2 linked regions of the Oryctolagus cuniculus genome follow. The protein of the gene in region 1 purifies or fractionates together with the protein of each later gene. This does not show direct contact. Links are inferred from orthologs where the notes say so. Each region holds a gene or a part of one and is shown on either strand. Other genes may lie near its edges.

The links.
Region 2: the proteins of SNX9 (region 1) and DNM3 purify together in Homo sapiens (co-immunoprecipitation; 3 studies listed by BioGRID and IntAct, counting the BioPlex papers as one, with this or other methods). This does not show direct contact. The link is inferred for Oryctolagus cuniculus from reciprocal best matches to the Homo sapiens genes SNX9 and DNM3.

The regions. Positions count from the first base shown.
Region 1 is NC_091436.1:9,789,733-9,793,555, forward strand, and holds part of SNX9 (sorting nexin-9), read right to left. Parts: intron 2,977-3,823; coding exon 2,892-2,976; intron 88-2,891; coding exon 1-87. UniProt on the Homo sapiens protein: Involved in endocytosis and intracellular vesicle trafficking, both during interphase and at the end of mitosis. Required for efficient progress through mitosis and cytokinesis. Required for normal formation of the cleavage furrow at the end of mitosis.
Region 2 is NC_091438.1:26,455,879-26,459,701, forward strand, and holds part of DNM3 (dynamin-3), read right to left. Parts: intron 3,226-3,823; coding exon 3,127-3,225; intron 2,472-3,126; coding exon 2,311-2,471; intron 1-2,310. UniProt on the Homo sapiens protein: Microtubule-associated force-producing protein involved in producing microtubule bundles and able to bind and hydrolyze GTP. Most probably involved in vesicular trafficking processes, in particular endocytosis.

The sequences.
Region 1 (3,823 bases):
ATACATTTTGGAGCCTTTCCTGGGATCCGCTACCACACAGTCGAATGTAGAGGTAGGATAAACCCACATCGGGCCATAATCTCCAACCTACACAAAAGTCCAGCAGAAGTGAATTTCAGAACCCTTGGGGAGGTCATTCTCGCTGCTTTCTGAGAAGCTACCTAAGTGGACTCTACTCCTGTGAGATGTGTTTAAAGAACTCCCGTGTCAGGACAGAGCCTTCTGCCCCTCACCAGGGGTGCTCAGTCCATGCACAGAAGAGACCAGCTCCCCGCCTTGAGTGCTGGTTGATTGGAACACAATGTCTGTCTCTCTAGTCCAGGTGTCTCGAACTGTATGTGATAAAAGACTCCTTTTTAAAAGTCCAATTATAGACCAACGGTTTTGTGAAGTGTAACATTACACATGTGGGTTTCTCAATAATTTCAAGTTGCCATCAAGCCTTCTAGGACACTCCCACTGCACTGATCTCATGGCAGACTGGTAAACTTTGAGTAGCTGTGCCCTAAATACAGAAATGGCTTATCAGACTGGTGAGAGCCTGTGTCCACTGCTTTACTACGGAGGGCAGTGGTATATGTGCCTCACAGCAAGAATCAGGCCAGCTAGCTGTTTTCTCCTTGGCCTGCTTGTGCACAGCACAGTGGGCAGGCTCACACTCCATGTCCCAGGCATCACGCCCACTTGGTAGGCCTCTCTTGTTCTTCACTTGTCTTTCTTGTCTATATACAACTGGGGCCAAGGTTGAAAAGTGAGGCTTATTAGGCCAGCACTAGACCATTTAAGTAATTTTAGCAGGGTGTGGAGAGGATGAGGCATGAAAACCAACTAAAATCTATGTGGGGACACAGAGAACTAGCATGATCACAGTTATGGATTTCAGAGACTGTAGGACAGTATCATTAAAGAACAAATAAAAAGGGGCCGGCGCTGCAGCCCAGCAGGGTAAAGCCCTGACCTGAAGCACTGGCATCCCATATGAGTGCCAATTCTAGGCCTGGCTGTTCCTCTTCCAATCCAGCTCTCTGCTATGGTCTGGGAAAGCAGGAGAAGATGGCCCAAGTCCTTGGGCCCCTGTACCCGCCTGGGAGACCCAAAAAAGGGCCCTGGCTCCTGGCTTCAGATCAGCTCAGCTCTAGCTGTTGTAGCCAATTGGGGAGTGAATCAGTGGATAGAAGGCCTCTCTCTCTCTCTGCCTCTTCTCCCTCTGTGTAACTCTTTCAAATAAATAAATAAATAAATCTTTAAAAAAAGAACAAATAAAAAGCAACAGAATTCCTTATTCTATTGAAAATATGGTATTTTCCAGGAAACAGGTGAGAAAAGCAACAAAGTGACTGTAAACAGACCATTATTTCTAGCAAATATACCCATTCAGAGTTCTAAAAAGGGTCAAAAATAGTTCATGAAACAGATTTTGATCTTGTAGCTGGAAGAAGCACAGAATAAAGTACATAGAAAACCGCATGGACTGGGCTAAAGGAGACAACCAGGCAGGTGTGAAAGGGAGACGTCTCCCAGTCCTTATTCTTGGTAAAGGTGCGAGAGGCCAACAACAGGACAGGGACGGAAGTCAGCGAGCCCCGCAGCAGGTTTTATTAACCCTTCCCCAAAGTCCAGATCTCCGCACAATCAGCTCTGAAGGATGAAGTGCCACCCTGACCTACAGGAGGGTGAGCTGTCTTTGCACCTGTCACCCTGAGGCTATCAGGTCAGGAGGCGACTGAGCACCAGAGAAGCTGAATGAGGAGTTAAAGAGAAGATTCTAAAAGCAAACCATGAAGCCCACATCCAGGAAGCTGTCTTAAAGCTGCAGAGCAGGAATTAAAGAGACCTTGGGGGACCTCCCTCCGTGACTGGGGATCAAAAAGCAGCCTTGACTGGCCCATGGGCCAAATTCCACTAGAGAGAGGGTTACCACACCTTCCCAGCAAAGAACCAGGCCAACGCTTTCTCTTGGCTCCCTGGACTCTCTCTGCTAGAATTCTGTTTCGGAATATACAGCTAGAGATCATTGAGATAGAAAATCTATCAGCAATCAAAACATGCAGTGAACCAAAGTGCCTACGTCATAGTATGAAACAATGTCATGTTACATAACAGTCCAGGTATTCTAAGATTTTTTAAAAAATCTATTTGAGAGGCAGAAAAAGAGATTCTCTGTCTACCAGTTCACTCCCCAAATAACCGCAACAGCTATGGGTACACTGAGGTTGAAGCTGGGAGCTGGGAATGCAATCAAGGTCTCGCACATGGGTGGAACCATGACTTGCTGCCTCTCAAGCTCTGCATCAGCAGTTGGCTGGAGTCAGGAGCCAGAGCCAGGAATCAAACCCAGGTACTGTGATGGGGGATGTGAGCGACTTAGCCATTTCGCCAAATGCCCAGTCACCTAAGCTAAGTGCCATTAACTCCTACATTTGCTAGCTCCTTATTATCATTTGGCTGCTTGTTCACTAGAAGAAACACTAAGTATTTCCAACATATTGGAAAAGGCACCTAATTCTGATAACATGCATGTATTTTTGCAAGGGTAGAAATCCAAATATTTAAATTAAGTTTATTAGATAAATATATAGACTGATAGAAAAACAACATAAAAAATTTCAAGATACTTTCAAAAATAAAAATTACTAATAGAATATTATGAGTGTTGTCGGTTCAATACTTTTAATTCAAGAGATAAAGAATATCTAAACAAGATAATGATAGGCATTAATTTATGCTAATTATCTTTAGTATGCCTAAAATACTAACATATACTATCAGTTATTTGGGGACATTTAATGTGTTTAAAAATACTTTCCAAGAGAGTAATAACCCTCTTAGCTTTACGGTTTTAATAAAGAACTTTAATTACAAAGCAAGCAAACAAAAATGAACAAACTTACAATGATGGGAATTTTTTCTTTGGGCTTTGCTAGTTGCTTGGCCAACAAATATTGTTCCATTCCAGGTTTTGCAAATCCAGGAAATCTAATCATGAAGATAAATGCTTGTGAGTCCTTCCTCGTAAGACTCCTACAGCTCTCACCCACAGTTACTGAACAAGCCACTTTTAACCGTGTTTTTTCTTTCAGGTGTACCAGATCTAGGAAACCATGGTAAACAATACCTGATGTAATCAGACGGCTCAAGAGCCAGTCAGTAATTTAATTAGGCATGGTCAGTTGCAAAGGGCAGTTTGACTCCGGAAGGTGCGATATTTATGGGTTCTCAGTGAACTCACCCCACTCAGAGAGAAGGGAGCAGCACCCTTTCCTTGAGAGTCTCTGAATTCACAGGGGCAGTGAGTACTCATCAAACCAACTGGAGTGGCCACATGGGGCGATGGCCACGCATCAGCATTTGTACAAACTAAGGCCGCCTCTCGCCACACTCTGGAAGGCACAATTACCCCAGAGAAGCGGCCACTGTTCGCAAGCATCCCTGCCATTTTCTTTTGGAAGTGCCTTCAGAAACTACTCCGTAGTGAAAAGACCCAAAGCACAGTAAGTAAATCTGACTAGTTCGAGATGCCATCTGATAAGACCCCAAAACATAATAAATAATAAATGTCCATCTCACTCTTTCCTCACGCTTCCTTATTAAGCAGATTTGCAAGGACTACTGAATAAACATTTTAATTGAAGAGAATCTAAGTGGAAACAAAGAGCTGAGCTAAGAGCTGTGCTCTGGAGCCGAGGAGCTGGGATCCCGACAGGAGCACGGCCTGCTGCGTGAGCGCAGGGCTCTCCAGCCGCGCTGGGTTTCTGTGTCCCGCAGCGAAACCGCGAGTCTACAACAGAGGGCGTGTGGGGACACAGGCAGACAACCACTCTGT
Region 2 (3,823 bases), on another chromosome or scaffold:
ATATAGAGAATAACAAATGCTGGCGAGGATGTGGACAAAGTGGAACACTTATACACTGTTGGTGGGAATGTAAATTAATACAGCCACTGTGAAAAACAGTATGGAGATTTCTTAAAAACCTAGACTTGCCATATGATCCAGCAATCCCACTACTGAGAATATAGCAAAAAGACTTGAATATAATGTATCAAGAGATACCTGCATCACAATGTTTATAGCAGCCCTGTTCAAAATAGCCAAAATTTGAAATCAACCAATGTGCCCATCATAAGATGAATGGATAAAGAAAATGTGGTATATATATATATATATATATATATACACACACACACACTATGGAATATGATTCAGCTATTAAAAAAGACTAAAATTCTGTCTTTTGAAGCAAAATGGATGCAACTGGAGGACATCATGTTGAATAAAATAAGCCAAACACAGAAATACAAATGCCACATGTCCTCTCTTATATATGAGAGCTAAAATTCAAAAAAACAAACAAAAAGAAAGGCATGCTTATGTGTATTTACTGCATATTTTACTGTATATTTTACTGCAAATGTACTTTTATAAAACTTTGTTTTATACCTTTGTCAAACCAGTGGTTAAGAATTTTATAGCACTATAGTTTTAATGATTTGTGATTACTTTTAAAATTTATTATATGGGGGAAATGGTCATTTTTCCATTCAACTATTGTTTACAGCTATTTTCTATATTCTTACTAGACTAGGGGTATTTTATTGTTTTATTTTATTTGGTGAAGCATTAAGTCTTTTTATTGTAATGTGAATTTAAAATTTGCTATCAGGCCACCGGTGCACGGCTCAACAGGCTAATCCTCCGCCTGCGGCGCCGGCACCCCGGGTTTTAGTCCCGGTTGGGGAGCCGGATTCTGTCCCAGTTGCTCCTCTTCCATTCCAGCTCTCTGCTGTGGCCTGAGAGTGCAGTGGAGGATGGCCCAGGTCCTTGGGCCCTGCACCCGCATGGGAGACCAGGAAGGCAGCTGGCTCCTGACTTCGGATCAGCGCGGTGCGCCGGCTGCAGCATGCCAGCCGCAGCGGCCATTGGGGAGTAAACCAATGGAAAAGGAAGACCTTTCTCTTTGTCTCTCTCTCACTGTCCACACTGCCTGTCAAAAAAATAAATAAAATAAAATAAAATTTGCTATCAAAAAGTGAAAAAGAAGGAAAAAAGGGGAGGGGAGAGGGTGAGAGGGAGAGAGGAAAGGAGAAATGGAATATCATTATATTCTTAGAACTGTATCTATGAGCTATATAGAATCTGTCAAAAAATTAATTAGAAATTTTAGAATTATTTTTATACATAGAAACACACAAAATAGAAAATAAAAAATTAAATAGGAAATTTTAGAAACAAACAATTCATAAATTAAAAAAACTAAAATAAGTGGAATATTATTCAGCAATAAAAAGGGACATTATAAATACCACAAAAGGCATAAACAAAAAAAAGGATACAACTAGTTTTTATTTTCTAAAACTTCTTCAATTATTTTGCCTGAATGGTTCAGACACAATGTCACATATTGTGACAGCTTCTACTGATACCTTCAAGAAGCTAACAATCAGAACGAAACTGTTAGATTGGCTGATTAAGTTATAGATAAGAGTTTAAGCAAAACTTATGAGAATATTTGTGAGGAACATGGCTCACCATACAAAGTCAACATAATTAAAACTCAAATGACAATGACACAACTCCAATAAGGGTGGAAAATATGTAACCAAGGAAGAGAAGTACACAGTACATGGTGGGAAGAAGGGAGGCAGAAGACCCAAATTTATTTATTTTGGGGTAACAGGTTATCAGGAAAAGCTTCTGAGATGACTGGCAATAGAATTTACTGTTTGGAAAAGTTTAAAGTACAAAATAAATCATTCCTAAACAAAACCAGATAACATTTTCAACAGAAAATCTAGCCTAATCATTAGAGTGGTATTTTAAATGCAGATTCCTAGAGATCACTGTTACAGATCTACACAAGCTCAGCTTCTTAAGGTAACTACATTTTGTGAATGAATGCACACTCAAATGTACATCCCCTATTCCTTGTTCCCAAGTACATGTTTCTGCTTTCATAATTGTTCTTTCAATAATATTAAGGTGACTTTTATTCACTAAGAAAAGTAACAGTGTGGCTCTAAGTATCTATAAGCATTGTTTAATTTCTATCATTTAACCTAAATGTCTTGTGTTTGGGAAAAAAGTGAATTAAAAATTAGAAATATGAATTCCAATAGTTCTCTTGTGTGTAATAAAGGTTCTTGTTGCTTGAAAGAACATTTTTACCTGATTCAGGACCTTCTGCAGGTGTGGGGTCCCCATTCGATCAGCAATATGTCTGTAAGCCGGGTGGGAAAGAAAAAACTTCCTCTCTGCCAGCATGGCCGCCTTGATGTCCTTCTTCCCGTCTATGTCCTTCTGGCTTCTGTTTACCACCCCCACGTAACCTGAAATAAGGCACAAGCTATGGAGTTTGGCACTCTTTCTGTGCTTCCTCTAGGAATTGCCATGCTCTCAGACTGAACAAAAATAAGATCAGTTTAAGACTGAGTTCATTTACAACAATTTTTTTCATTTACAAAATTGAATAGGCTAATGGTAATTATTTTAGCATCACCTTAATAATGTTTTCCTCCTTAAAAATCTCTGCACATTTTACAGAATATGTCTCTCACTGGTTGTGACATAATACAAAAGTACCTAAAAAGTTTGTGTAAAAGTGGAACATTAAAAGTTAAGTTCATTTTGGTGCCCAAAATTCTGAAATATATACATAATATTTCATAATACTTGTTTTTCCACAAACATCTTGAAGTATTTGCAATCAGACTTATAACAGTACATTTAAGCAGCCCATGATGAATAGTTATAACCCTCCTTGAAACCCCTCCCTTTCCTGTTTCTTTTCTTTCTGTTAGTTTGAGGAATAGTTCTCCCTTTGGATCTTCACTTGAATACTGTGCCACTACATAAAAAGGATAACTAATGATAAACTTGTTCCTCTCAATTGAAAAGGCATTACACCACATCTTCTAAGTGGCTTCCCAATTGTTTCTCAGCCCCATCATCCACGGAAGTGCTGTATACATCACAGTACATTACCCCTGCGAAGAGGCAGCAGCTTGTTCTCTAGAACATCCCTGGCATCTGTTCCTTCATCCATAAGATCCAACTTGGTGATGACTCCAATGGTTCTCAGACCTGCATCATAACCAAAGCCAGCATTACACAATTCACAGAAGACCAACAGATTTTAAAGATATATATGTCTTAATGCAAAATGTAAAGCACACAATCTTAGCCTGCTTCCTGTTCCTCTCTGTCTTGCTGAGTTTTCTAATCTACTGCTACCCAGTCTAGTGAATTTCAACGTGATGAGGAAGAGAGTTTTGAAACCATCTTTAAGAAGATACCTTTCACCGGCGCCGCGGCTCACTAAGCTAATCCTCCGCCTTGCGGCGTGCCGGGTTCTAGTCCTGGTCGGGGCGCCAGATTCTGTCCCGGTTGCCCCTCTTCCAGGCCAGCTCTCTGCTGTGGCCAGGGAGTGCAGTGGAGGATGGCCCAAGTGCTTGGGCCCTGCACCCCATGGGAGACCAGGAGAAGTACCTGGCTCCTGCCAACGGATCAGTGCGGTGCGCCGGCCGCAGCGCGCCGGCTGTGGGGGCCATTGGAGGGTGAACCAATGGCAAAGGAAGACCTTTCTCTCTGTCTCTCTCTCACTGTCCACTCTGCCTGTCAAAAAAAAAAAAAAAAAAAAAAAGATGCCTTTCATTACAGGAAACAAGAATCAGTCTTACCA